4 linked regions of the Anolis sagrei genome follow. The protein of the gene in region 1 purifies or fractionates together with the protein of each later gene. This does not show direct contact. Links are inferred from orthologs where the notes say so. Each region holds a gene or a part of one and is shown on either strand. Other genes may lie near its edges.

Region 1 (7,370 bases):
ACAGAGCGATATAATATCATAGATTTGAAAGGGAGTCCTAAAGAAGGACAATGATATGTTCCATGTTCCAGAGTAGGCAAACCAGACACTTTCCACATCAACCCTGACAAAGAAATACTGTTTACCCACAAGCAAAAAGAAATTACATAGATTAGAAACCATTACTTTATTTTCCAGATCACCAGACTGGGCCACAGCAACTTGGCAGGGGACGACTAGTGAGAAAATAATTTACTTTTTTTTAACCTAAGAGAACACCTCTAGGAATTTCTAGGTCCCATGATCAATTTCTCCTGGGAGCTGACCACCAAACTGCATTGGAGAACTTAGGGAGTACTAAAAAGTGTTCTCTCTAGAAATAAATCTCTAAGGGCACATTATCTGCTTTGACCTGGATTATCTGAGGCCCCTTCTACACTGCCATATAAAACCCAGATTACCGTATCTGCTTTGAACTGGATTATCCTTTTGCCTTGTCCATTTGGCCTGCTCATTCTGCCCATTTGATTTTACATTGTGTTAATTTGCTTTATTTATGTTATTTTGTTACTGTATGTATTTTATTCTGATGCAATTTATGTTGTCTGTAGTCTGTATTTTATTTTTGCTGTATTGCACCTTAGGGTTTGGCCTCATGTCAGCTGCACCGAGTACCCTTTGGGGAGATGGTGGTGGGGTATTAAAAAAAGAATATTATTATAATATTATTATTACCTGGCAGTGTAGATTCATGTAATCTAGTTCAAAGCAGATAATGTAGATTATCTGTGTTGATAATTTGGATTATATGGCAGTGTAAGAAGGGGCCGGGGGTTTAGCACAGCTGGTAAATAACCAGCAATTATAAGATTTATCAACCGGAGGGTTGCAAGTTCGAAGCCCCGGTTCAGTGTGAGCTGCTGACTGTCAGCCCAGCTTACTGTTGACCTAAGCAGTTCAAAAACAGCTTTAACTGTAATTAGAGAAATTAGGTACCGCTAAAAGAGGGGGAGGTGTTTTACGACACAATAAAGAAGATCAGAAAATGTTGGGCAACCAAAAGGATGAATAAAGTCCTGATGGCTCTTCGTCATAGAAGAAAATCCCACAATATCTGCTTTGAACTGGGTTATTTGAGTCCACACTCAGATAATGTGGGATTTCCTGCCTTGATAATCTAGATCAGTGGTTCTCAACCTGTTTTTTGTTTTGTTTGTTTGTTTTTTTGTCGTGTCAGGAGTTGCTCCTGTTGTGAGAGAATTGGCCGTCTGCAAGGCAAATTGCAGGCCAATGTGCCCAGGGGACGCCCGGATGATTGGATGTTTTTATCATCCTTGTTAGAGGCTTCTCTCATGTCCCCGCATGAGGAGCTGGAGCTGATAGAGGGAGTTCATCTGCCTTTCCCCGGATTTGAACCTGTGACCTGTCGGTCTTCAATTCTGCCTGCACAGGGGTTGAACCCACTGCGCCACCGGGGGCTCCTCTCAACCTGTGGGTCCCCAGGTATTTTTGCCTACAATTCCCAGAAATCCCAGTGTTTACCAGCTGCTAGGATTTCTGGGAGTTGAAGGCCAAAACATCTGGGAACCCACAGGTTGAGAAGCACTGATCTAGAATACAGGGCTGTGTGGAAAGGCCCTGGGTTATCTGAGTCCACACTGCAATATAATCCAGTTCAAAGTAGATGATGTGGAGTTTTATTCAGTTGTGTGGAAGTGCCCTAAATGATCAATGCAGATCATAGAATGATAGAGTTGGAAGAGACCTCATGGGCCATCCAGTCCAACCCCTTGCCAAGAAGCAGGAATATTGCATTCAAAGCAGGCCCGTAGCCAGGATTTTGTTTCGGGGGGTTGGGGGGGGCTGAGTTTCGGGGGGGGGGGGCTGAGTCTGAGTGAAAGAGGGTCTAGCCTAGCAAACCTTTTGTATCATTACCCCAATACCCCCATGCATATGAGATATATTGAGCATGGTGATCAGATCATGATATGAATAAACATAACAGTTTAAATAATGCACCAGTAAGGCCTTTTCGTGGACCACCATGAGAATTTCGGGGGGGGGGCTTAAGCCCCTCAAGCCCTCCCCCCCCCCGCTACATGCCTGATTCAAAGCACCCCCGACAGATGGCCATCTAGCCTCTGTTTAAAAACCTCCAAAGAAGGAGCCTCCACCACACTCCGGGGCAGAGAGTTCCACTGCTGAACGGCTCTCACAGTCAGTAAGTTCTTCCTCATGTTCAGATGGAATCTCCTTTCTTGTACTTTGAAGTCACTGTTCCGCATCCTAGTCTCCAAGGAAGCAGAAAACAAGCTTGCTCCCTCCTCCCTGTGACTTCCTCTCACATATTTATACATGGCTATCATATCCCCTCTCAGCCTTCTCTTCTTCAGGCTAAGTATGCCCAGCTCCTTAAGCCACTCCTCATAGGGCTTGTTCTCCAGACCCTTGATCATTTTAGTCGCCTTCCTCTGGACACATTCCAGCTTGTCAACATCTCTCTTCAAGATGATCCACTTGATCTACTTTGAACTGGATTATCTGAGTCTCCACCGATATTTAATCCAGTCCAGAGTGGATAATCCTAATCTTCAATGGTAGTGTAGAAGGGGCCAAAGGGGGTGCCATACTGTGAGGAAAGCTGACACATTCCCTTTGCTGCGGGTCAGAAAGCGAGGCGAGCCATTTTAACTAGCCACTGCGCACTTTAAATTTAAATTGGCAGGAGGCCCATGCCAAAGAAGGCGAGGAAGACGCAGGGAGAAGGCCCCCACTGAAGCCTCTCCTTCCTGCCCTGGAGGGCTGGGCCTAGCAGCCCCCAAAGCGCCCTCACGCCCGTGCCCGGCTCCTGAGGCGTCCTGCTCCCCCTCCCCGCCCTTCCTGCCCAGAAGCCCCTTCCTCCCAGCCCGGCCCGGCCCCACCTCCGAGGGAGGCCTGAGAGGCCCAGCTCCTCGCGCCCCGAGCCCGCCCGCGCGCCCCTCCCTCCCTCCTTCCTCGGGGCCCCTCCGCCACTCACTCCTTAGACATCGCACTCAGATGACCTACAGGGAGCGCAGAGCCCCCTCCCTCCAGAGCGCGCATGCGTGAGAGCGCGCGTCATGCTCTTCCCCCCTCTCCCTCCTCTCCCCGCCCAATTCCCAGCGCGAGAGGGGGCGCGTGGCTCTTTCCAATGCCACGCCCCCCTTTGCCGCAGAGACCCATAAACTTCCTAACTAGACAACCAATACTTTGTTTTTTCTTCCAATGCGGGAAACGTCGGCTGGATCTACAATGCCAGATCATACAGAATATGGATTAACTATATTAATCTGGATTATATGGCAGTCGAGGCTCAAGATAGTTTAGTTATCATGCATGGGCAAACTTCACCCCTCCAGGTGTTTTGGACTTCAGACCTTAATAATAATAATAAACTTTGGGTTGTTGTAGGTTTTTTCGGGCTATATGGCCATGGTCTAGAGGCATTCTCTCCTGACGTTTCGTCTGCATCTATGGCAAGCATCCTCAGAGGTAGTGAGGTCTGTTGGAACTAGGAAAAAGGGTTTATATATCTGTGGAATAACCAGGGTGGGACAAAGAACTCTTGTCTGTTGGAGCTAGGTGTGAATGTTTCAACTGACCACCTTGATTAGCATATAATAGCCTGACATTGCCTAGAGCAAACTTTTGTTGAGAGGTGATTAGACGTCCTTGTTTGTTTCCTCTCTGTTGTTGTGCTGTTGTAATTTTGTTGCCAGTATTAAAAAACTCTAAAATTACAACAGCACAACAACAGAGAGGAAACAAACAAGGACGTCTAATCACCTCTCAACAAAAGTTTGCTCTAGGCAATGTCAGGCTATTATATGCTAATCAAGGTGGTCAGTTGAAACATTCACACCTAGCTCCAGCAGACAAGAGTCCTTTGTCCCACCCTGGTTATTCCACAGATATATAAACCCTTTTGCCTAGTTCCAACAGACCTCACTACCTCTGAGGATGCTTGCCATAGATGCAGGCGAAACGTCAGGAGAGAATGCCTCTAGACCATGGCCATATAGCCCGAAAAAACCTACAACAACCCAGTGATTCCGGCCATGAAAGCCTTCGACAATAATAAACTTTATTTATACCCCGCCACCATCTCCCCAATGGGAACTCGGAGTGGCTTACATGGATGAATGCTGTGGAATCCAGGAAGTTGTGGTTCTGCAAGTCCTTCAGTTCTCACCAAACTACAAATCCTAGTCGTTGCACTTAGGGCCCTCCTGCACAGCTCTATAACCCAGAATATCAAGACAGAAAATCCCACAATATCTGCCTTGTGCTGGGTTGAGTCCACACTCAGATAATGTGGGATATCCTGCCTTGATAATCTAGAACAGTGGTTCTCAACCTTCCTAATGCTGTGACCCCTTAATACAGTTCCTCATGTTGTGGTGACCTCCCAACCATAACATTATTTTTGTTGCTACTCCACAACTGTAATTTTGCTATTGTTATGAATCGTAATGTAAATATCTGATATGCAGGATGTATTTTCATTCACTGGCCCAACATATTACAGCAATAAAATCAGAACATAAACAACAAACAACAACATCATCATCAAAGTACATTAATTTTTAAAAAAATCTTAAAATAACATTCTAATAAACACAATCATGATAACAATGGGCGGGCCACATGTACAGGATAAAACAATTTTTAAAACTGATGAGATAAAATAGGAGAAAGACATTTATGGGGATTTATGAGATTGAACTTCCCATTTGGGGGGCACGAACTCCAGTAACAGAAAAGCGTTGAGGGGTGCAAAATGTCATGGTGTACACCTACTCACCAAAGGCGCAGCGAAAGAGCCAGGTTTTAAGGTTCTTTTTAAATGTTTCTAGTGAAGGGACTTTCCTAATCCCTCCAGGTAAAGAGTTCCAAAGTCGGCGAGCCACCAAGGAGAAGACTCCCTCCCTTGTACCCACAAGATAGGCTTTTGAGATTGGTAAAGGTGACAGGAGGACCTCCCCAGAAGATTGAAGGGCCCGGGTTGGTACATGGAGAGAGATGCACTCACGAAGGTAGGTGGGTCCCAAACCACCAATGGCACTGGAGGCCATTTAACTTATGCAGAAAGTATTGTTTATCCTTGGAGGACATAAATGGAACGTGTGGTGGCTTCTGAACTCCAGATATTCTTGGAAGACACGGATTATCTGGACCCGGCACAGTCTGGTTTTAGGCCGAGGCATGGTATTGAGACAGCCTTGGTCGCCTTAGTGGATGATCTGCACCAGGAACTAGACAGGAGGAGTGTGTCCTTGTTGGTTTTGCTGGACCTCTCAGCGGCCTTCGATACCGTCGACCACGGTATCCTTTTGGGATGCCTCACAGGAATTGGCCTTGGAGGTACTGTTTTGCAGTGGCTCCGGTCTTTCCTGGAGGGTCGTTCCCAGAAGGTGTTGTTGGGAGATTCCTGCTCAACTCCACAACCATTGTCTTGTGGGGTCCCACAGGGGTCAATACTATCTCCCATGTTATTTAACATCTACATGAAGCTGTTGGGAGAGATAATCTGTAGTTTCGGGGTACGGTGTCACCTGTATGCAGATGACGTCCAACTCTGTCACTCCTTTCCACCTGCTACTAAGGAGGCTGTCCAGGTCCTGAACCAGTGCTTGGCCGCTGTGATGGTCTGGATGAGGGTGAACAAATTGAAATTGAATCCAGACAAGGCAGAGGTCCTTCTGGTCAGTCGAAAGGCGAAACAGGGGATAGGGTTACAACCTGTGTTGGATGGGGTCACACTCCCCCTGAAGACACAGGTTCACAGTTTGGGACTCATCACTGAGCCTGGAACCCCAGGTCTTGGTGGTGGCCGGGAGAGCTTTTGCACAATCAAAACTTGTGCGCCAGCTGCGCCCGTTCCTTGGGAAGTCTGACTTGGCCACGGTGGTCCATGCTCTGGTTACATCCCGTATAGACTACTGCAACGCTCTCTATGTGGGGTTGCCTTTGAAGACTGTTCGGAAGCTTCAAATGGTCCAACGGGCGGCAGCCAGGTTGCTAACAGGAGCGGCGCCCAGGGAGCATACAACTCCTCTGTTGCACCAGCTCCACTGGCTGCCAATCTGCTACCGAGGATATTCTGGCCACCAGGGGATCTGTTGCTTCACCGCCCATTTGTGGCACTGATGAAGTACTTCCTTATTCTTTGCATGCTTGCTGGAGATTTTTATGGCATCATAAATTAGCCTCCCCACATAAACGGTACCTAAATTTCCTACTTGACAGATGCAGCTGTCTTTCGGGCTGTAAAGGTCAACAGCAAGCTACACAAATTGGTCGGAAGCTCACTCTGACCCGAGCTGGCTTCGAACTCATGACCTTTTGGTCAGTAGTGATCTTAATGCAGCTGATTCCCAGCCAGCTGCACCACAGTCTTTTTTAAAAAGATAGGATTAGGTTATGTAGTTCCTCCGGATGCTGGTGGCTGATTCTGAACACCTTCAGACCAAGGGTGACTGGCAATAATTCACTGAGGTGAGAGTTGAGTCAAAGTGGCCCTGCGGAACTCTCCACTGAAGGTCAGCATGGTTCAAATCAATAGTTTTGACTGGGGAGGGGGTCTTTTGGGCTCGATGACAGCTGTATGGAAGGGCCCTAGGCTCCATCTACACTACCACATAATCTAGTTCCCAGCAGATAATCTGGATTCAGTTTATTCAGGTATGGCAATGTAGATCCATCCTCAATCTCAAAGGTGCTCCAAAATCCCTTTGTATTCTGATCCTGTCGAACAGCTATATTCTACTGCCATGTTTATAACTGGCATGCTGTAAAAGTTTCTGTGATATAAACACAGAACTAAAATATACAGAGTTAGTTCAAAACTTCGCAATTTATCTAAACATGTCGGATTTTGCTACCTTGCAGAACATTTCCCGTTGTTCAGAGTGTGTATGTACCTTGAGGCCTATAAATCTTTTCTAAAACTAGGAGGGGAAAAAAATCAAGGCTCACCGTAGTAGATATAAACAATATAACTGTTTCTAAACTTGTGTGGAGTTTACCACAACCAGCCCAGAATCCTGAAATTAGGGGCTTGGAATCCCAGAATCTCTCTTGCACTTACAAGCAGCATATTCATGCCACTTGCTTGCTATTTCACAATATGTACATTTCTCAATTGTATAACAAATATTCTTGTTTTGATGAGACCCACATCCAAGGATGCAAATTTCCATCTAATTGGTTGAAGCATTGCCAAGTGCCAAACTATAACATGCAGGCCATAGGGGTGTCAAACAACTATATGAGGAAGGGTGAATACTGAATATCTCTCCAATCTTGATAAGAATGGCTTCTACGCTCCAGTATCATCTCTTGTATTCTGCCATAGTTTCACTTTTCTGCAC
Region 2 (7,792 bases), on another chromosome or scaffold:
CACTCCACATACACACTCCCCCTTCGGACTCAAAAAATACTTTAAAGTTAAGCTGCTGGGGAGCCTGCCTTCCTCTGCAATGCGGATGTGTGTGTCTGTATGTGTTTTAATTCCTAAACTCGGATCAGAAACGCTTCCAATTCAAGGTCTGGTGTGTTAAGAAATAAGCAGAGAAAGGGATGCGAAGTTTATCGGGCGTTTCTGACAAAACAAGGGCAGAAAATCCCACCACAGAAGACAGCCCGCTCCTTTTTGCAAGCGACATATTGTGCCCAACTTTGGCCCTTTTCATTCCTCGATTTGTGCAGCGCCCAATGGATAGAATACAACTATGGGAGGTAGTCGGAGGGGAAAAAATAGACAACTCGCTTCTCTTTGAGACAATTATAAAGCGATTGGGTTACACACAACATGAGGCTTGGACGCGAAAGCGATTTCTCCCTCCATTGAAAGCACAAAGCTCGAGCCATTTTTTTTGTTGCCAATGTTAAAAGCCAGGCCTTGGCCAACACATTCCTTCCAGCAAGGCTTGCAAACACAGGGCCCTTCCACACAGCCCTATATCCCTGAATATCAAGGCAGGAAACCCCACAATATCTGCTTTGAGCTGGGTTGTCTGTGGGCCCTTCCACACAGCCATAAACCCCGAATATCAAGGCAGAAAACTGCTTTGAACTGGAATATATGGCAATGAGGACTCAGGGCCCTTCCATACAGCCATACAATCCTGAATATCAATGCAGAAAACCCCACAATATGTGCTTTGAACTGGAATGTCTGGCAGTGTGGACTCAGGGCCCTTCCACACAGCCATAAAACCCTGAATATCAAGGCAGAAATACCCACAATATCTGCTTTGATCTGAGTACACAATCAGAAAACCCATAATGTAGGATTTTCTGCCTCGATTTCTGCCCCCCAAAAAGCCAATGAGGGAACGTACACGCTGGAGAGAACTACAAATCCCAGGCATTCTAGTCACTGCAAATTCACATTGTGGTCCTTGAATAACGAGGCTCTTTGCAAACCAAAGGAAATGTTTCATCTTTTCCTTCGTCTCAAAAAAACTAAGCAAAGGCTCTTCCACACAGCCATTTAACTAAGGGCCCTTCCACATAGCACTATATCCCAGAATATCAAGGCAGGAAATCCGACATTATCTGCTTTGAACTGGAATATATGGCAGTGTGGACTCATATAACCCAGTTCAAAGCACATTTGTGGATCTTCTGTCTTAATATTCTGAGGAGGGGGGGGGCTAACCTAGAATATCAAACCAGAAAATCCCACAAGATCGGCTTTGAACTGGATTATCCGAGTCCACACTGACATATAACCCGGTTAAAAGCAGATATTGTGGGGCTTTATTCATCTGGGTAGAAGGAGCCTCAGAATATCAAGGCAGGTAATACACATTATCTGCTTTGAACCGGATTATGAGTCCACACTGCCATATAATCTGGTTCAAAGCCGAAAATGTGGGATTTTATCCAGCTGTGTGGAAAGGACCTCAGAATGTCATGGCAGGTAATCTGCAATATCGGCTTGGAACCGGATTATCTGAGTCCACAGTCATATAATCCGGTTCAAAGCAGAAAATGTGGAATTTTATCCAGCTGTGTGGAATGGGCCCCAGAATATGAAGGCAGACAATCCCACAATATCTGCTTTGAACCGGATCATCCGAGTCCACACTGCCAATTCAGTGTGGATTTTGTCCATCTGTGTGGAAGACGGGGTTTGGATTCCGATTGTGTCATTTGAGGTCAATACAATTGATCCGATTGAGGAATCGCTGCACGACTGAGGGATCGAAGCCTGCCCATTTGGGAAATAAATAGGTCTGAATCCCCCCCCCCCCTGACCGACATTTCCCAAAAGCACCCACAATCTGAAGGCACACAGCCTTTACTTACGTATTTCTTTTGAATTATATTCCTCTTGGGTCTTTCTTTGCTCATTATGAGATCCAGGTTGCGGTTGCAAAGGGGGACAATTGCTTCATGAATTTGTGTGTGTGTCGGAAGGGGCAGAAAAAAAGATCCTTATCTTGAAATATAGAGATGTGTATATATATCTATTTCTTCCTTTTCCCCGCCGTTGCCTTCTTCCTTGTAGTGGTTTCTTGTAATCCGGGTTTTTCTTCCCTTCGCACACAATGCAATAAATCCGAAAGAGGTGGGACGAAGAAAAAAGAGACCAAGCACCAAAAAAATTAATATAGATAGATCACTCTGAGAGAAACATCGCTGGAAATTTCACACACACACACACACCCCACACACACAAAAAAGCACCGTTTTGGCTCCTTCCCGATCCTTAGAGGCCTTGAAGGTGTAGTTTTACATCTTGAGTGGAGGAAAAAAAGGGGGGAAATAGGGAAGGAAATTGATTTTTCCCCCTCAAGGCTGGAAGTCACGTTTCTCCTGCTGCAGCGCAGACAACTCCAAGCAAAAGGCGGCACAGAGAGAGAGAGAGAGAGAGGTTGAGTCTCTCCTCCTCCTCCTTCTTCTTCTTCTTCCTCGAGACAGACACACAGCCAATGGGAGCCAATGAGCGCGAGCTGCTTCTTCCCAGCAGCAACTTTAAATGGCCCGATTTGTATCTGTATCTGGAATAGAGAGAGATCAGGGAGGCCAAGAAGGGAGGGTTGTGATCCTCGGTCTTTCAACGTGCCATCAGCAGCCAGAAAAAGAAAAATAGCATAGAAAAGGTATCAAAATTGAAGAGCTGCACAACCCAAACGGCCTGGTGCCCATCCACAGCGGCGGCGGGGAATGGGAGGACAATCGCAGCCTCTCTCCTCCTCCTTTCTGTCTCTGCAAAAAAAATTCTCCTCCTCCTTCTCCTTCTCCTTCTGCTGCTACATCTCCCGCTGCATCCAACCACAGCGAGGATCTCCTTCCCTTTGCTTTCGAAGGAGAAGCAGCCCTGCAAAAGCAAAGAAGGAAAAGCAAAGCAAGAATCGCCCTCTCGCTCTCGCTCTCCCTCTCGCTGGGAAAGTTGTAGTCCCCTCGCTACAAAATGGCTACAAGGGCTCGAACTGCAAATCCCAGCCTGCGCGGCGGCGGAGGCAGCATCATCCGCGGCCTGATTGGGCGCCGGCAGAGGGATTGTCCTCGAGGCACCTTTCTTTCACCTCAGGCCCCGCCCACTTTGGGAAACGCCGGCCGCGGCGCCGCGCGGAGGACGAGGACGGGGACGAGGCAGGCGGGCGGGGGCGCGCGCGCGCGCGGCGGAGGCTGGCTTCCTCTTCGCGCGCGAGCCCTCCTCTCCAGCGCAGTGGCACGCGCCCCCTCCAAGGGAAGGAGGGAGAGGGAGGCTGTCACGTGGTACATTCATAATAATAATAATAGTAATAATAAATGCAGCAGGTATTTTGTTCCCATTTGGGTCATAGAATCACAGAATTAGAAGAGACCCCCCCCCATTCTGCCAGACAGGAATTACCCCATCAAAGCACTCCCAACAGATGGCCATTCAGCTTCTGCTTTAAAAACCTCCAGAGAAGCAGACTCGGTAATAATATGATAGCTGGGTCCTCAGTCACATCAGTAGGGATGCTATTGTCCTCCCAACCCTGCTATACACCTGCGAGATGTGGACTGTCTACAGAAGTCATGTGCAACTCCTAGAATGAATCCATCAGCATTGCCTCCAGAAAACCATGCAAATCTCTTGGGAAGACAAGCGGACAAATGTCAGCGTGCTGGAAGAAACAAAGACCACCAGCATTGAAGCAATGGTCCTCCGCCATCAACTCCGCTGGACCAGCCACATTGTCCGGATGCCTGACCACTATCTCTCAAAGCAGTTGCTCTACTCTGAACTCAAGAACGGAAAACAGAATGTTGGTGGGTAGGAAAAGAGATTTAAAGATGAGCTCAAAGCCAACCTTAAAAACTCTGGCATAGACACTGAGAACTGGGAAGCCCTGGCCCTTCAGCGCTCCAGCTGGAGGTCAGATGTGACCAGCAGTGCTGAAGAATTTGAAGAAGCACAAATGGATGGTGAAAGAGAGAAACGTGCCAAGAGGAAAGCGCATCAAGCTAACCCTGACCGAGACCGCCTTCCACCTGGAAACCAATGCCCTCACTGCAGAAGAAGATGCAGATCAAGAATAGGGCTCCACAGTCACCTATGGATCCACCGCCAGGACACCGAACTTGGAGGACCATCATCCTCGGACTACAAGGGATCGCCTAAGTAAATAAGTAACTTGCCCCCAAATTCCACCAGTGCTCACATTTGGGCATATTGAGTATTCATGCCAAGTTTGGTCCAGATCCATCATTGTTTGAGTCCACAGTGCTCTCTGGATGTAGGTGAACTACAACCCCAAAACACAAGGTCATTGCCCACCTAACCCTTCCAGTATTTTCTGTTGGTCATGGGAGTTCTGTGTGCCAAGTTTGGTTCAATTCCATCTTTGGTGGAGTTCAGAATGCTTTTTGAATGTAGGTTAACTATAAATCCCAGCAAGTACAACTCCCAAATGACAAAATAAATGAATGAAAATGTATCCTGCATATCAGATATTTGCATTACGATTCACAGCAGTAGCAAAATTACAGTTACGAAGTAGAAATGAAAATAATTTTATGGTCGGGGGTCACCACAACGTGAGGAACTATATTAAGAGGTTGTGGCATTAGGAAGCTTGAGAAACACTGCCCTACAAGAACCACTGCCTGAATATCAAGCAAAAAGTGGGCGCTAGAAACAATATCATAGGAAAGCTGACTGGCACAACCTGGGGATCACAACCAGGTACAGTGAAGACCTCTGCCCTTGCGCTATGCTACTCTACTGCTGAGTATGCATGCCCAGTGTGGAACACGTCTCACCACGCTAAAACAGTGGATGAGACATGCCGCATTATCACAGGGTGTCTGCGCCCTACACCACTGGGAAATTACACTGCTTAGCCAGTATTGCACCACCTGACATCCGCCAGGAAGTAGCAACCAATAGTGAAAGGACCAAGGCAGAGACATCTCCGGCCCACCTCCTGTTTGGGTAGCAGCAATCATTCCAACGACTTAAATCAAGAAATAGTTTTCTACAGAGACACTTGCTGGAACACCTCAGCAAGCGAGAGTCCAAAAGTGGCAGGCTCAAACCCAGAACCTCAACCAATGGCTGATACCAAATGAGAGACTCCCTCCTGGGCACACAGAAAACTGGGCGACTTGGAAGGTGCTGAACAGACTGCGCTCTGGCACCACGAGATGCAGAGCCAACCTTAAGAAATGGGGCTACAAAGTGGAATCTACGACATGCGAGTGTGGAGAAGAGCAAACCACAGACCACCTACTGCAATGCACCCTGCCACATGCACAATGGGGGACCTTCTTGCAGCATCACCAGAGGCGCTCCAAGTGGCCAGCTATTCCTCGTGAGGTCTGACCAAAGCAGAATAGAGTGGGACCATGACTATCCTTGACACGATACTCACGATACTCCTGTTAATGTCATTGAGGGTTATAGAGAAGAATTAAAATCATAGAATAGAATAATGGAGTTGGAAGGGACCTTATGGGCCATCCAGTCCAATTCCCTGCCAAGAAGCTGGAAAATTGCATTCAAAGCACCCCCGACAGATGACCATCCAGCCTCTATTTAAAAGCTTCCAAAGAAGGAGCCTCTACCAGAGACTTCCACTCCTGAACAGCTCTCACAATCAGGAAGTTCTTCCTAATGTTCAGATGGAATCTCCATTCTTGTAGTTTGAAACCATTGTTCTGTGTCCTAGTCTCCAGAGCAACAGAAAACAACCTTGCTCCCTCCTCCCTGTGACTTCCTCTCACATATTTATACATGGCTATCATGTCTCCTCTCAGCCTTCTCTTCTAAATGCTAAATATGCCCAGCTCTTTACGCCACTCCTCATAGGGCTTGTTCTCCAGACTTGATCATTTTACTCGCCCTCCTGATGTCGAAAAAGGTTGGACATCAGCAAGGGATACTTTGTGTTTTTTCTGCATGGTAGGGGGTTGGACTAGATGGCCCATATGGTCTCTTCCAACTCAATTGTGGAACTGTGGGATGTGAAAAGAATATAGGTTTAATGCTCAAAGCACTAAATCACCCTGGAGGCAGAAAGGCAGCCATCTTGAGAGTGGGCTGCGAGAGAAGGGAGGGATCACCACTACATCATGATGATTCCCCTTCCCTACTAATCTAATGTGTTTTTGCTTTGTTCCATGGAAAGGGAAAAGAATAAGAGTAAGATAGTGATGCCAGGGTGCTTTAGTCCTTTAGATGAGGGAGAAACTGAGACCTCAACCTCCAGAGAAAACCGAAGCAGGACTAGAAAAAGGAGCCAGTGCCGCCATCTTAGAAGCTGGCAGCCTCCCTTCCCTCACAGTCCGCTCCCAAGATGGCTGCCCTTTTGCCTCCAGAGTGATTTAGTGCTTTGAGCATTAAACCTGTACTCTTTTCACACCTCACAATTATAGATTATGGATCCTGGGATTTGTAATTTGGTAACAACGTGAACTAATGAAAATAAAGCCAATCTACAGGATAGAATCAGGGCAAATAAAGTGGAATCATGGCACAATAAGTTAAAAAATGCCAAGAATATGCAATATCAAGGCTGGAAACTGCTGAACAATGGAAAACCGGTAGGTAACCTTGAGCAAGTCACACTATCTCAGCTTCAGAGAAGGCAAAGGCAAACCTCTTCCTTATAAATGTTCTCAAGAGAGCCTTTGTTTGGTTCACCATAAATCAGTGTTGACTTAAAGGCATATGAGAATAACATGCAGCAAGGATGATTTCAATGCAAATACAGAGCCATCCTGGTGAAATGACCATGTCTTATACATGCAGCCTATATTATATGGAGCAAGGGTGGAATCAATTCAAACTACAAGAAAGGAGATTCCACCTGAATATTAGGAAGAACTTCTTTACTGTGAGAGCTGTTCACCAGTGGAACTCTCTTCCCTGGAGTGGGGTGGAGACTCCTTCTTTGGAAGCTTTCAAACGGGCTGGATGGCCATCTGTCGGGGTGCTTTGAATGTGATTTTCCTGCTTCTCGGCAGGGGGTTGGACTGGATGGGCCACAAGGTCTCTTCCAACGCTATGATTTTAAGTTTTGGGTACAGGGGAAAATTGTCTTCCTATGTTGGTTGAGCCAAAGGTAGGATCAAAAATGCTGGCACGTTTTAGGGCAGGGGTCCTCAAACTTTTTAAACAGAGGGCCGGGTCACAGTCTTTCAAATCGTTGGAAGGACGGATTATAATTTGAAGAAAAAAAAGAATGAATTCCTATGCACATTGCACATATCTTATTTGTAGTGCAAACAGCACTTAAAAATAATACAATAATTAAAATTAAGAACAATTTTAACAAATATAAACTTATTAATATTTCTATGGGAAGTATGGGCCTGTGTTTGGCTAATGAGATAGTGTTGTTGTTGTTGTTGTTATTGTTGTTGTGTGCTTTCAAGTCAATTCAGACTTAGGTTGACCCTGAGCAAGTGCCAAGTAAATGACCTTAGAGAGCCGTATCCTTTGCTCATCCAACGTTCTGTATTATCCCACAGGCCCTGTTTTAGGGTAAGGCTCTTGCCACCAATAACTAAGCCATGGGGAAGCATTTTAACCTTTTAGAATCGAGATCAAAACTACAAAAGCTAGGAAACCACCATATGAAGACATTAGGAAAAAGGAGAAGTAGTCTGCTCGGGACATATGGAGAGCCAGATTAGAGAAGTTCTGCAGTGTTACATTCAAAACCACAGACTGAGGCTATAACTACACAGGCCATTTAACACAG
Region 3 (7,361 bases), on another chromosome or scaffold:
GCTCAAATGTGAACACTGGTGGAGTTTGGGGGAAAATAGACCTGGACATTTGGGAGTTGTAGCTGCTGGGATTTATAGTTCACCTGCAACCAAAAAGCATTCTGAACCCCACTAATGATAGAATTGGGCCAAACTTCCCACACAGAATCCCCATGACCAACAAAAAATACTGTGTTTTCTGATGGTCTTTGGTGACTCCCCCAGGAGTCTTGATCCCCAGATTGAGAAATGCTGGCATAGGGAAACACATGTGAATTAATGGACAATGTATATGGTTCAAATCTGTGGACTCAAACAATGATGGATCTGGACCAAATTTGGCACCAATACACAATCTGCCCAAATGTGAACACTGGTGGAGTTTGGGAGGAAATAGATCGTGATGTTTGGGAGTTGTAGCTCACCTGCAACCAAAAAGCATTCTGAACCCCACCAATGATAGAATTGGGCCATACTTCCCACGCAGAACCCCCATGATGAACAGAAAATACTGTGTTTTCTGATGGTCTTTGATGACCCCCCTGAAACCCCCTCATGACCCCCCCCCAGGGGTGCTGTAGCTGCTGGGATTTATAGTTCACCTGCAACCAAAAAGCATTCTGAACCCCACCAATGATAGAGCTGGGCCAAACTTCCTATACAAAAACAATACTATGTTTTCTGATGGTCTTTGGTGACTCCCCCAGGAGTCTTGATCCCCAGATTGATAAATGCTGGCATAGGGCAACACATGTGAATTAATGGACAATGTATATGGCTCAAATCTGTGGACTCAAACAATTTTGGATCTGGACCAAATTTGGCACCAATACACTATCTGCCCAAATGTGAACACTGGTGGAGTTTGGGGGGAAATAGACCTTGACATTTGGGAGTTGTAGCTCACCTGCAACCAAAAAGCATTCTGAACCCCACCAATGATAGAATTGGGACAAACTTCCCACACAGAACCCCCATGATGAATAGAAAATACTGTGTTTTCTGATGGTCTTTGATGACGCCCCTGAAACCCCCTCATGACCCCCCCCCCAGGGATGTTGTAGCTGCTGGGATTTATAGTTCACCTGCAACCAAAAATTTATTTTATTTATTTGGGGTTCTTGTACCCCGCCCTTCTCACCCTGTAGGGGACCCAGGGCGGCTTACAACAGCAAAGGCACGCTTAGATGCCTGCCACACAAAACAATCATCACAGAAGTGCAACAATTCATAGTTACCACAATTCAAGCCATTATCCCAATAAAAACAATAAAAAATCGATAAAATCGATAAAATCAATAAAATCAATACAAACCTAATTCTTCCTCCTACCCTATCAGTGTACACTAACTCACAGATCTGTTTTTGATTTCACTTCGACAATCCTGCTGATCTTGCACATCTGATTGTCTTATTTAATTGTCTTATTTAATTGCCTGGTTGCCCAAAGGCCTGGTTCCACAACCATGTCTTCACCCTCCTCCTGAAGGAGAGGAGGGAGGGTGATGCTCTGATTTCCCTCGGGAGTGAGTTCCACAGGTGAGGGGCCACCACTGAGAAGGCCCTGCTTCTCGTCCCCACCAGCCTCACTTGTGACAGTGGTGGGGTCGAGAGCAGGGCCTCCCCAGATGATCTCAAACTCCGAGGTGGGACGTAAAGCATTCTGAACCCCACTAATGATAGAATTGGGCCACACTTCCCACGCAGAACCCCCATGATGAACAGAAAATACTGTGTTTTCTGATGGTCTTTGATGACCCCCTGAAACCCCCTCATGACCCCCCCCCCAGGGGTGTTGTAGCTGCTGGGATTTATAGTTCACCTGCAACCAAAAAGCATTCTGAAACCCCACTAATGATAGAATTGGGCCAAACTTCCCACACAGAACCCCCATGATGAACAGAAAATACTGTGTTTCCTGATGGTCTTTAGCAACCCCCCCCCCTCCAGGGGCCCCCATCCCCTACTTAGTGTGATGAGGTCCTAAGTCCAAAACTTGAGGGAGGGCTGCAGTTTGGCCATGCCTGGTATAAAAGTGATTTTAAGAAAGGGGGGCAAAGGGAGTGTCTACACTGCAGCGTGAATGCAGTTGGACTCCATCCCTCAAGGCAAAGAACCCTGCACAGTTCCCCAGCACTCAAGGCAAAGGACCTATGCTGATAAGAGACAGGGAATTCAAGAGAGCACCTATTCCAAACCAGGGAAGGAAGGAAGAGAGGGAAAGGAAGGGAAGGGGATGGAGGCGCTAATTTCGGACCTGTCCTCGGAGTCCATGCGGCTGAGAGGCTCTCCGTCGGAGGAGGAGACCTCCATGCTGCCCCTGCGTCCGCCCGACGAGGCGCTGCACGTACTGCCTCCTCCTCCTCCTCTTTCTCCTTCTCCCCCGGCTTCTCCTTCGCTGCCTCCGCTGCGGCTGCTGTAGCCCTCGTCGCGGCTGGATTCGCTGCTGGAGCAGGACGAGGAGGCGGAGGAGACACTGCTGCTGCTGCTGCTTCCTCCGCCAATGAGGCCTCCTCCTCCTCCTTCTCCGCCGTCGTCGCTCTTGCCGCTTCCTCCTCCTCCTCCTTCGATGGCGGAGATTTCCGTCAAAGGCCCCGCTAGGCCTCCTCCTCCTCCGCCTCCTCCCAGTGGCAAGGCCTTGGCGTCGGCTTCCGGGCTGAGGGAGCGGGTCTCGTCGCTGCAGCACCCGCTGGAGGAATCCTCGTCGTCGTCCTCCTCCACTTCATCGTCCTCCTCCTCCTCGTCGTCTCCGTCTCCCGCCTGGCTGGCGCTCTCCGGGCTGGACTCCGACATGCTCTCCGCCCCCTCTCCGCTCAGCAGCAGCGCCGTGGGCTCAGCCTCAGAAACGGGCGAGGCCTCGGCCTCCATTTCCACCAGCGGCGAGGGAGAGGCCTCCTCAGAGGCGCCTGGAGGAGGAAGGAGAAGAGGAGGAGGAGGACAGAGCAACGGGGAGCCGCCTTCGCCGCTGCTCAGCTCGGCCGCCATGTTGTCGCCTTCCCCTCCCTTCTTCCCGTCTCTCTCTCTCCCTCACGAAAAAAGGGGAGGAGCTTCCCACTGCAGCGGGATGACGGACGGACGGACGGACGGAGGGAGGGAAGGAGCGTGCGCGCGGGCGGGCGGTTGGCTGGCGGCGAGGGTGCGCATGCGCGGCCTGGCGCGCGCGCGTTATGGAAGCCGCCTGGGGACAAAAGTGAGGCAAGGACAGGCAGCCCGTCCAACTGCGCTTGGAGGCAAAGCGAGGTGGGAGGCGAGGGATAAGCGCAGAAGGCCGAGGGAAATAGGGACGTTCAAGAATGTATGAACCAGTTATTGTTGTTGTTGTCCAGCCTCTGTTTAAAAGCTTCCAAAGAAGGAACCTCTACCACTCTCCCGAGGCAGAGAGTTCCACTGTTGAACGTCTCTTAACAGTCAGGAAGTTAAGTTAACAGTCAGGAGGTTAACTCAGACATCAGAAGAGCTGCAAAACCGAGAACAAGCCACGAAAGTAAAGATGAAGATCCACCCAGAGGAAAAGTGTTTGATGATGTTTTTGATTTTTGCTAGATTGATATTTTAGATTGTGTCTTGAATTTTGTACCTTGTTCTTCTATGTTGTACACCGCAGTGAGTCGCCCCTGGGCTGAGAACTGCGGTATATAAGCAAAGTAAATAAATAAATCAAGGGAACCACTGACCACATAGGGAAATTGATGAGGAAACACAACGTACAAACCACTTACAGACCCACCAAGAAAATCCAACAAATGCTACGTTCAGCAAAGGACAAGAGGGATCCTCTCACCTCTGCAGGAGTCTACCGTATACCATGCAGCTGTGGACAAGTCTACATAGGGACCACCAAACGCAGCGCCCAGACACGCATCAAGGAACATGAAAGGCACTGCAACTACTCCAACCAGAGAAGTCAGCCATAGCAGAGCACCTGATGAACCAGCCTGGACACAGCATATTAGTATAAAAGTATGATAAGTATAAAATTGTGTGCTGAAATAAAACATATTATACATAAGAGGCAAAAACCAGCACCTATTAATCACCAATTAAAATCCAGTTGGCATTGGAATCAATTAAAAACCTCCATTGCTTACGATATAGTCAACTGTTTTCAAAGGCCTGCTTCCATATCCATGTTTATAGTTATTATCCAATAGCAGAGCACCTGATGAACCAGTCTGGACACAGCATATTATTTGAGAACACAGAAATGCTGGACCACACCAACAACCACCATGTCAGACTACACAGAGAAGCCACTGAAATCCACAAGCATGTGGACAATTTCAACAGAAAGGAGGAAACCATGAAGATGAACAAAATCTGGCTACCAGTATTAAAAAACTCAAAAATTACAACAGCAAAACAGAGAGTAAACAATCAGGCACATCAATTCACTCTCAACAAGAGATTCCCCCCAGGCGCTTCCAGGCCATTGAATGCAAATCAAGGTGATCAGCTGAAACATTACCCTGGTTATTCCAGATATATAAACCAATTTTTCCTACTTCCAACAGACCTCACTACCTCTGAGGATGCTTGCCATAGATGCAGGCGAAACGTCAGGAGAAAAATTGCCTCCAGAACATGGCCATATAGCCCGGAAAAACCTACAAAAACCCAGTCAGGAAGTTCTTCCTAATGTTCAGATGGATTCTTATTTCTTGTAGAAATCTCATTGTTCCATTGCATCCTAGTCTCCAGGGCAGCAGAAAACAAGCTTGCTCCCTCCTCCCTCTTAACTTCCTCTCACATATTTATACATGGGTTGTTGTAGGTTTTTTCGGGCTATACGGCCATGGTCTAGACTAGAGGCATTCTCTCCTGACGTTTCGCCTGCATCTATGGCAAGCATCCTCAGAGGTAGTGAGGTCTGTTGGAACTAGGAAAATGGGTTTATATATCTGTGGAATGACCAGGGTGGGGCAAAGGACTCTTGTCTGCTGGAGCTAGGTGTGAATGTTTTCAACAATTCAGAGTGCTGGTTTTGATCTACAAAACCCTTTACGGCTCTGGCCCAGCGTACCTGTCCGAACGTATCTCCTTCTACATCCCACCTTGGAGTTTAAGATCTTTAGGGGAGGCCCTGCTCTCAGCCCCACCTTTATCACAAGTGAGACTGGTGGGGATGAGGGACAGGGCCTTCTCGGTGGTGGCCCCTCGCCTGTGGAATGCACTCCCCGGGGAAATTAAGTCATCAACATCCCTCCTCTCTTTCAGAAGGAAGTTAAAAACCTGGATATGGGACCAGGCCTTTGGGTAAGCTGGCAGATGGATAAAGGACAACGACAACCAGAGTAGGAAAGGACAATTGACAATGCTGGATGGATTATAGCAGGGGTCCTCAAACTAAGGCCCAGGGGCCGGATGCGGCCCTCCAAGGTCACTTACCCAGCCCTCGCTCAGGGTCAACCTAAGTCTGAAATGACTTGAAAGCACACAACAACAATAATCCTATCTCATCAGCCAAAAGCAGGCCCACACTTCCCATTGAAATACTAATAAGTTTGTATTTGTTAAAAATGTTCTTCATTTTAATTATTGTATTGTTTTTAAGTGTCTTTTGCACTACAAGTAAGATATGTGCAGTGTGCATAAGAATTCATTCATTTTTTTCCCCAGGCTATAATCCGGCCCTCCAACTGTTTGAGGGACTGTGACCTGGCCCTCTGTTTAAAAAGTTTGAGGACCCCTGGATTATGGATTTATGAATTGGCAAACATTGACCACAAGATGATTTTATTGCTGCTATTGTATTAATTTGATTGTTTTAACTAGTTATAACTGTTATCGTTATATTGTATTATATTGTAGACAGCAGTGATAGCTGACAGGTCTGATGTGACGATGTGAGCTAGCTGGAGGTATGTGGAAGTCTTCCAGCAAGTGTTCCATTTTGTATGCAGTCTACTTGGCTAGTGGGAATAGGGACTCAATTAGAGTTACCAGGACCTTGGTTGACTACTGAAGTGTCAGATATTCTATGGTTCTGCAAATCAAAAAGTCCCAGTGCTCCCAGTTTATGAGGCCTGTTTTCACCACATCACTGTTGTTCATGGTTGAGATGAGGATGCAGATGGTAGGAGACGTCTGGAAAGGAGCAGGAGGCTAGTTGGGGAAGTCATGCTAGAGCTACAGGTGACAGTTTTTCCATCCCTGGGTGCAGATGCAGAAAATGTTAGAATCACCTGATCCCTGCTTGGAGAACTAGTAAGTGGCAACACAGTTCATTAATTTACTCCTGTGAATCTACACGTTGCAGACTTGTCAGACCAAAAGCTGGGGAGACTTTGGCATCTTTATTGGTTGGGTAGAAGAGGGAATTTTTGATGCAACCAAGTAATAAGCAACACCTGCTAAAAATCCCCTCTTGTGCACAACTATAAAAGGTACAAAAACCCTCTCCTGTGTTAGCTCTGGCATCCTGACACATTAGTCTGTTTTCTGAAGCAAAGGTTGTCTGCAATCATAACCCACTAAACAGAACACATTCAATCTAGACTGGCATTGACCAGCATTGAGTTAGATTAGTTGACCCCAGTGTCTCTTCCAGCTGTAGAATTCTGTGATTCAGTGATTCCAAATTAGTGAAACCTTTCCCGCCTTCATGCTAACTGTTGCACAAACAGCCCATTCTTTGTGTGGCTTTCTCGAATCTTCCATGCCGCACATGGTTCTATCTGTTAATTGGATCCCGTAGACCTCCTTTATGGTGTCAGGTTTCTCCCAGCCAGTCGAAATTGGCCCTTGTCCATGGGCTTGAACTGCCGGTGACCCTATCCATCACGCAAGCTTGACTCTGTCTACACAGATTACTGGGCAAAACCCATGATTGGCTTGGATTTCATCCCAAAGGAGGAGCAAATGGCAGATTTCTGCACTATTACAGTGGGAGCAACTGGAGGCTTTACCCAAATATCTTGAAGCTATTAAGAACGCAACAAAATCTTCTCAAACAAAGGGAAACAAGACACTCACTCATACTGTGAGCTCAGCAAATAACAAGGCCATATAGAAAAAGTACACCCACCTTCCCCTTTTAAAGTTCTAGTCTACACTCATCTTCCAAAATAGTTCAGGCAGTGTTTCTATACAGATGTAACCAATAAAGTCCCACTGGACTTGCAGGATTGTGCTTTGAATAGGCCTGCATAGAATTTCATTGTAAACTTTTCGTTAAATGGATACTCTAAACCTGTCATTTTAACATCCTTTTTTGTGGAAAATACCTTGGGGTGTATTAAATGCCTACTTATTATGTAAGTAAAAAGTTCAAAACCCTATTGCCTTTGGGTTTCAAAATCCTTTTGCCTTTGAACACAGCCACCCTCGGAGTGCCAACCACCTGAGAACTATTCTAAAATTGAATGAGATTATTGGGCTGAAAT
Region 4 (7,732 bases), on another chromosome or scaffold:
TTGCTTTCTAGAATGCTTTGGATCAAACTATAATCCACTCTCATTTTGTGTTTTGGCCTGTTTTGGTTTTCCCGAAACTTTATTTCCAAGCATGCAATCCGTCCGCAACCCTGAAGTGCGCATCAAACAAATCTGCGTGATAATGATGTGGATGCAGTGACAGTTCTTGTACACAGAAGCACTTGACTGATCGATTGCAGATACATCTAGTTGGGAATTTAACCCTCAGCTGTTTGTGGAACTGGGAGCCTGTCTGTGGAAGTGGGCAGCCCAGCCACACAACGTACATACGCATATAGATATAGATTATGATGAACATTATGATCAGTTTTATGCTGTACTAGCCGTCACCAGCCACACGTTGCTGTGGCCCACATAGGTGTTCTGTGTGGGAGTTTTGGCCCAATTATATCATTGGTGGGGTTCAGAATGCTCTTTGATTGTATGTGAACTACAAATCCCAGCCACTACAACTCCCAAATGTCAAGATTCTATTTTCCCCAAACTCCACCAGTGTTCACATTTGGGCATATTGAGTATTCGTGTAGAGTTTGGTCCAGATCCATAATTGTTTGAGTCCACAGTGATCTCTGGATGTAGGTGAACTACAACTCCAAAATCAAGATCAATCCTCACAAAACCCTTCCAGTATTTTCTGTTGGTCATGGGAGTTCTGTGTGCCAAGTTTGGTTCAATTCCATTGTTGGTGGAGTTCAGAATGCTCTTTGATTGTAGGTGAACTATAAATCCCAGCAACTATAACTCCCAAATGGCAAAATCAATTTCCCGCCCAATCCCACCAGTATTCAAATTAGGGCGTATCATGTATTTGTGCCAAATTTGGTCCAGCAAATGAAAATACATCCTACATATCAGATATTTACATTACGATTCGTAACGGTAGCAAAATTGCATTTATGAAGTAGCAACGAAAATAATGTTATGGTTGGGGGGTCACCATAACATGAGAAACTGTATTAAGGGGTCACAGCATTAGGAAGGTTGAGAAACACTGGTGTAGAGTTTGGTCCAGATCCATCATTGTTTGAGTCCACAGTGCTTTCTGGATGTAGGTGAACTAGAACTCCAAAACCAAAGGACACTGCCCACCAAACCCTTCCAGTATTTTCTGTTGGTTATAGAAGAACTGTGTGCCAAGTTTGGTTCAATTCCATCGTTGGTGGGGTTCAGAATGTACTGGTGAACTATAAATCCCAGCAACTACAACTCCCAAATGACAAAATCGTTTTGTTTTGTTTTTTTGAGTGAAGGACATACATTGGATTGTTAGGTGTCTTGTGTCCAAATTTGGTGTCAGTTCGTCCAGTGGGTTTTGAGTTCTGTTAATCCCACAAACGAACATTACGTATTTATTTATATTTATTATTAACTCTTTCGGGCAATATTATAATCATATTTATGGACTACTACTATGTTTTGTTATGATTGCTTTATGTTTTTGATTTTGCTTTGAGTTGTTTCATTATGCTGTTGTTGTGTTGAGGCCTTGGCCTTTGTAAGCCGAATCGAGTCCTTCGGGAGATTCTAGTGGGGTACAAATAAAGTTTAATAATAATGATTATGATGATGATGATAATAATAATAATAATAATAATAATAACAACAACAACAATGTTATACAATACTAGCCATCCCCTGCCAGGCATTGCTGTGGCCCAGTCTGGTGATGTGGAAAATAAAGTAATGAGAAAGTGTTGGTTTCTAATATATGTCATATCTTTCTGCTTGTGAGGAACCAGTATTTCTTGCTGTTTCTTTGCCAGTGTTGATGTGGTGATTGTCTGGTTTGCCTACTCTTGAACATGCAACATGTAATTGTTCATTAGGGGTCCCTTTCAAATCTATGATACTATATGTGTCATATACATATGTGTGTGTGGGAGAGAGAGAGAGAGTCAAATATATCTATAGCTGGATGGCTCTTTGTCAGGAGGGCTTTGATTATGTTTTCTTGCCCTGGTCAAAGGAGTTGAACTGGATGGCCTTAAGGCAGCATTTCTCAACCTGGGAAATCAAGACCCCGGGGGGGGGGGGGTCATGAGGGGGTATCAGAAGGGTCACCAAAGACCACCAAAAACACAGTATTTTCTGTTGGTCATTGAGGTTCTGTGTGGGAAGTTTGGCCCCATTTTGTCGTTGGTGGGAGTCAGAATGCTCTTTGATTATCGGTGAACTATAAATCCCAGTAACTACAACTCCCAAATGTCAAGCTCTATTTCCCCCAAACTCCATCTGTGTTCATATTTGGGCATATGGAGTAGTCATGCCAAGTTTGGTCTAGATCCTTCATTGTTTGAGTCCACAGGTGAACTACAACTCCCAAAAATTAAGGTCAATTCACCCCAACCGTCTCCAGTACACTTGGTTAAGTAGTCATGGTGATTTTCTGCGCCAAATTTGATCCCAGTCCATTGTCGATGAAGGTCACAGTTTCTCTGGATGTAGGTGAACTACAACTCCCAAACCCAAGGACAATGCCCACCAAACCCTTCTAGTGTTTTCTGTTGGTCATGGGAGTTCAGTGTGCCAAGTTTGGTTAAATTCCGTTGTTGGTGGAGTTCAGAATGCTCTTTGATTGGAGGTGAACTATACATCCCAGCAAATACAACTCACAAATGTCAAGGTCTATTTTCCCCAAACTCCAACAGTGTTCACATTTGGGCATATTGAGTATTGGTGCCATGTTTGGTCCAGATCCATCATTGTTTGAGTCTGCAGTGCTCTCTGGATGTAGGTGAACTACAACTCCTATAAATCAAGGTCAGTTCTGGAAGTAGGCAAACTACAATTCCAAAACTCAACTCCCAAATGACAAAATCAATATTTTGAGTGATGGTCACTCCTTGGGTTAGTAGGTGCCTTGTGGCCAAATTTGGAGCCAATTCGTCCAACAGATTTTGAGTTATGATGTCACTCAAAACGAACAGAACATTTTTATATATATAGATTATGTCCAATTCTGGATGCATTGACGCAAGACATTTTCCCAAGGAGAGTCCCAAACCTCTGTCCGCTCTTTCGATCCATATCCACCAACTTCTGTTCTCATCGCTACCAACAGCAGTCCTTGATGGTGGTTCATGGTCAAGCTCTGCTGCTTGAGATGCTTCTGCCGTTTCCGCTGCTTGAAAACTACCAAGAGCAAGATTCACGGATGGGCTTGTGTGATACACCGGAGGAAAAGGGTGCCCTCTTTGAGATAGGCGTATTTCGGTGACTGTAACTTAGCCAACAGGATGAATTTGGGAAAGCCACTGGCTTCGTTCATATCCGTCATGGGCCTCTGGAAGGAAGGTGATGCTGGATCCGGGTGGATGGTGCTGACATGATCTTCTGTGTTGTTTTGACTCAGCAGCATGAACGTGACCTGGGAAAAGACAAGCAGAATGGCTCAGGTGGCTTGTTTGTGTGGTTGCCACAACTGTTACACAGTGCATATTTTAACCCAACGTCCCAGCGCCCAAAACCCAAATGCAAAAGACCTCACTACCTCTGAGGATGTTTGCCATAGATGCAGGCAAAACGTCAGGAGAGAATGCCTCTAGAACATGGCCACATAGCCTGAAAAAACCTGCAACAACCCAGTGATTCCGGCCATGAAAGCCTTCGACAATACAAATGCAAATAGTCTCAGGCCAATAGTCAAAGTGAACAGAAAATCTTTACTCTCTTTACTTTGCAGAGATGAAACAAAACTGGCAATGCTGCACACAAAACCCAGCAGTGCAACATATTTACACAGTCTTTGTAATAAACATAAAATAAGACATCTTCATCTTTACTGAAAATGGGAAAACAAAATAAACCTGAAGTATTTATTTGTTGTGTCAGGAAAACCAGTCAATTGTATTACATTTCTAACAGAACAAAACAAACAGACAAAATACAAAATTTGCAAGTTTGGTAGTTGGTTAAATATCCTTTGACCAGTAGCTGGCTACTTGGAGTGCTTGTGATGTTGCCACAAGGAGGTCCTCCATGGTGTATGTGGCAGGGCTCAGGTTGCATTGCAGCAGATGGTCAGTGGTTTGCTCTTCTCCACATTCCCATGTCGTGGATTCCACTTTGTGGCCCTATTTCTTAAGGTTGGCTCTGCATCTCGTGGTGCCAGAGCGCAGTCTGTTCAGCGCCTTCCAAGTCACCCAGTCTTCTGTGTGCCCAGGGGGGAGTCTCTCATTTGGTATCAGCCATTGGTTGAGGTTCTGGGTTTGAGCCTGCCACTTTTGGACTCTTGCTTGCTGAGGTGTTCCAGCAAATGTCTCTGTAGATCTTAGGAAGCTACTTCTTCATTTAAGTTGTTGGCGTGCTGGCTGATACCCAAACAGGGGGTGAGCCGGAGATGTCACTGCCTTGGTCCTTTCACTATTGGTTGTATCATAGTGTTACATAGTGCAAATATGGGCCAGGCTTTAGCACAGTGTTTCTCAACCTGGGGGTCAGGAGGGGTCACCAAAGACCATTAGAAAAACACAGTATTTCCTGTTGGTCATGAAGGTTCAGAGTGGGAGGTTTGGCCCCATTCTCTTGTTGGTGGGGTTCAGAATGCTCTTTAATTGTAGGTTAACTATAAATCCCAGCAACTACAACTCCCAAATGTCAAGGTCTATTTTCCCCAATCTCCAACAGTGTTCACATTTGGGCATATTGAGTATTTGTGCCAAGTTTGTTCCAGATCCATCATTGTTTGAATTTACAGTGATCTCTGGATGTAAGTGAACTAAAACTCCAGAACTCAAGGTCAATGCCCACCAAACCCTTCTAGTATTTTCTCTTGGTCGTAAGAGTTCTGTGTGCCAAGTTTGGTTCAATTTCATCATTGGTGGAGTTCAGAATGCTCTTTGATTGTAGGTGAACTTTAAATCCGAGCAACTACAACTCCCAAATGATAAAATCTACTCCCCACCAGACCCCACCAGCATTCAAATTGGGGCATGTCGGGTATTTGTGCCAAATTTGGTCCAGTAAATGAAAATACATCCTGCATATCCGATATTTACATGTCAATTCATAACAGTAGCAAAATTACAATTACGTAGTAGCAATGAAAATAACAACTATGTAGTAACAACGAAAGTAGCAAAATTACAATTATGTTGGAGCCCCCGGTGGTGCAGTGGATTAAAGCACTGAGCTGCTGAGCTTGCTGACCGAAAGGTCGCAGGTTCGAATCTGGGGAGTGGGATGAGCTTCCGCTGTCAGCCCCAGCTTCTGCCAACCTAGCAGTTCGAAAACATGCAAATGTGAGTAGATCAATGGGAAGGTAAGGGCGCTCCATGCAGTCATGCAGGCCACATGACCTTGGAGGTGTCTATGGACAATGCTGGCTCTCCGGCTTAGAAATGGAGATGAGCACCACACCCCAACGTCGGACATGACTGGACTTAATGTCAGGAGAAAACCTTTACTTTTACGTAGTAGCAACGAAAATAATGCCTTGGTCAGAGCACACCCGGAATCACACTGCGTCTGATTCTGGGCACCGCAATTGAAAGGAGATGTTGACTCTAAGCTGGAATGTGTCCCAAGGAGGGCGACTCAATGGATCAAGGGTCTGGAGAAGAAACCCTATGAGGAGAGGCTGAAAGAGCTGGGCATGTTTATCCTGCAGAAGAGAAGGCTGAGAGGAGACATGGATGAAGATGGGAGGGGAAGTCAGGAGGGAATAATCGTGTTTTCTGCTGCCCTGGAGACTAGGACGTGGAACAGTGGCTTCAAACTACTGGAAAGAAAGGAGATCCCACCTGAACATTTGGAAGAACTTTGTAATTGTGAGAGCCGTTCAGCAGTGGAACTCTCTGGCCTGGAGTGTGGTGGAGGCTGCTTCTTTGGAGGCTTTTAAGCAGATGTTGGGGGTGCTTTGAATGTGATTTTCCTGCTTCTTGGCAGAATGGGAATGGACTGGATGGCCCACGAGGTCTCTTATTGTTTACTTTTGGTCAGATGAGAATAGGATGGAGGTCATCTACTTTTACTTTCTGTTTTCGTATTTTTTCCTGGATTTTTTTGGGTGTTTTTTACTCTATGTTTCTTTTCTTGCTCCACTTTTTTCAATTTTCAATGTAACCTCCATAAATCTGTGTGCTGCAAGGGCAGGTGCTTGTTGCATAAGCAAAAGCGGTCGTTCCCACATTTCAGGGCCACCAGATGGGAAAACAAAGCCAGATGCAAGAGATTGGGCAAAGCTGCCCAAGCAAAATATTGTGAAACTCAAATCCATTTCGAGCCTTCTCCAGGCCAAGCCGTGGCTCTCATTTAAGAAGTGTATACATAAGCATTCAAGATTCAATGAGATGTTGAACCTAACTCCGTCCTGACAAACCCTGACATCTCTCCCTGGCCTGGATTGTTTACTGAGCTCTGTTTATGTCCTGCTAGAAATGCAACATTACATGCCTGGAAATGGTGGTTACATACAAACCTTGATAAACGGTCTCTTCAACAACAAACAAGCTTTGGCTACATTCTGCACATTGGACACACGGACGATATAATAACACACAGTTGCCATGTCGTCATTTTGAGTTTGCACCCTTTGCATAATTCTGAAGTTCTATACAATATTTTATCTAGGGTGGTTGTGAGATTTCCAAGCTGCCTGGCCATGTTCCAGAAGCATTCTCTCCTGAAATTTCACCTCCATCTATGGCAGAGGTTGTGAGGCCTGTTGGGAACTAGGAAAATGGGGTTTATATATCTGTGGGATGATGTCCAGCAGGCCCGTAGCCAGGATTTTGATTCGGGGGAGGGGGCTGAGTTTGTTTTTTTTGGGGGGGGGGGAGGGTCAGGATCTACCCTAGCAAACCTTTTGTATTGTTACCCCAATACCCCCATGCATAGGGGATATTTTGAGCATGGTGATCAGATCATGATACGAATAAACATAACAGTTTAAGTAATGTACCAGTAAGGCCATCTCGTGGACCATCCTGAGAATTGGGGGGGGGGGGGGGGCTGATTGTAGAATAACTATAAATCCCAGCGACTACAACTCCCAAATGACAAAATCAAATTTTTTGAGTGATTGTCACTCCTTGGGTTAGTAGGTGTCTTGTAGCCAAATTTGGCAGCAATTTGTCCATTAGTTTTTGAGCTATGTTAATCCCACAAACAAAGATTACATTTTTATTTATATAGATACTAGCTGTTCCTGCCACGCATTGTTGTGGCCAATCCTCCCTCCCTCTTACTCTCCTTCCTTCCTTCCTTCCTTCCTTCCTTCCTTTCATTCTTTCCTTCCTTCCCTCTTTTTCTTTCCCTTCTTTCTTCCTTCTCTACCTGTTTCTTTCCTCCCTTCCTTTGCTTTTTGGTTCCATCTTTCCTTCTCCCCTCCCTTCCCTCCCTCCCTCTTTCTCTCTTTCATTCATTCTCTCCTTCCTTCCTTCCCTCTCTCTTTCCTTCCTTCTTTCACTTTTTTATTTCCTTCTCTCCTTCCTTCCTTCTCTACCTTTCTTTCTTTCTTTCTCTCCTTCCCTCCTTCTTTCCCTCTTTCTCTCCTTCCTTCCTTCCTCTCTCCCTCCCTCTTTCTCTCTTTTATTCCTTCTCTCCTTTCTTCCCTCTCTCCTTCCTTCCTTCTTTCACCTTTTTATTTCCTTCTCTCCTTCGTTCCTTCTCTTTCTTTCTTTCTTTCTTTCTTTCTTTCTTTCTCTCCTTCTTTCCTTCCTTCCTTCCTTCCCCCTTTCTGTGTATATGTGTTTTGTGTGTATATATATGC

The links.
Region 2: the proteins of EZH1 (region 1) and JARID2 purify together in Homo sapiens (affinity purification with mass spectrometry; 4 studies listed by BioGRID and IntAct, with this or other methods). This does not show direct contact. The link is inferred for Anolis sagrei from reciprocal best matches to the Homo sapiens genes EZH1 and JARID2.
Region 3: the proteins of EZH1 (region 1) and AEBP2 purify together in Homo sapiens (affinity purification with mass spectrometry; 3 studies listed by BioGRID and IntAct, with this or other methods). This does not show direct contact. The link is inferred for Anolis sagrei from reciprocal best matches to the Homo sapiens genes EZH1 and AEBP2.
Region 4: the proteins of EZH1 (region 1) and PHF19 purify together in Homo sapiens (affinity purification with mass spectrometry; 4 studies listed by BioGRID and IntAct, counting the BioPlex papers as one, with this or other methods). This does not show direct contact. The link is inferred for Anolis sagrei from reciprocal best matches to the Homo sapiens genes EZH1 and PHF19.

What each region holds. Positions count from the first base shown.
Region 1 is NC_090026.1:50,724,040-50,731,409, reverse strand, and holds the start of EZH1 (histone-lysine N-methyltransferase EZH1), read right to left. Parts: upstream 3,085-7,370; 5' UTR 3,061-3,084; coding exon 2,996-3,060; intron 1-2,995.
Region 2 is NC_090024.1:80,730,406-80,738,197, reverse strand, and holds the start of JARID2 (protein Jumonji), read right to left. Parts: upstream 3,108-7,792; 5' UTR 1,962-3,107; coding exon 1,917-1,961; intron 1-1,916.
Region 3 is NC_090025.1:183,640,478-183,647,838, reverse strand, and holds the start of AEBP2 (zinc finger protein AEBP2), read right to left. Parts: upstream 3,047-7,361; 5' UTR 2,965-3,046; coding exon 2,237-2,964; intron 1-2,236. UniProt on the Homo sapiens protein: Acts as an accessory subunit for the core Polycomb repressive complex 2 (PRC2), which mediates histone H3K27 (H3K27me3) trimethylation on chromatin leading to transcriptional repression of the affected target gene.
Region 4 is NC_090031.1:8,752,532-8,760,263, reverse strand, and holds the start of PHF19 (PHD finger protein 19), read right to left. Parts: upstream 3,071-7,732; coding exon 3,026-3,070; exon of another isoform or gene 2,556-3,025; intron 1-2,555. Other genes in the region: TRAF1 (TNF receptor-associated factor 1), read right to left, coding at 3,170-3,388.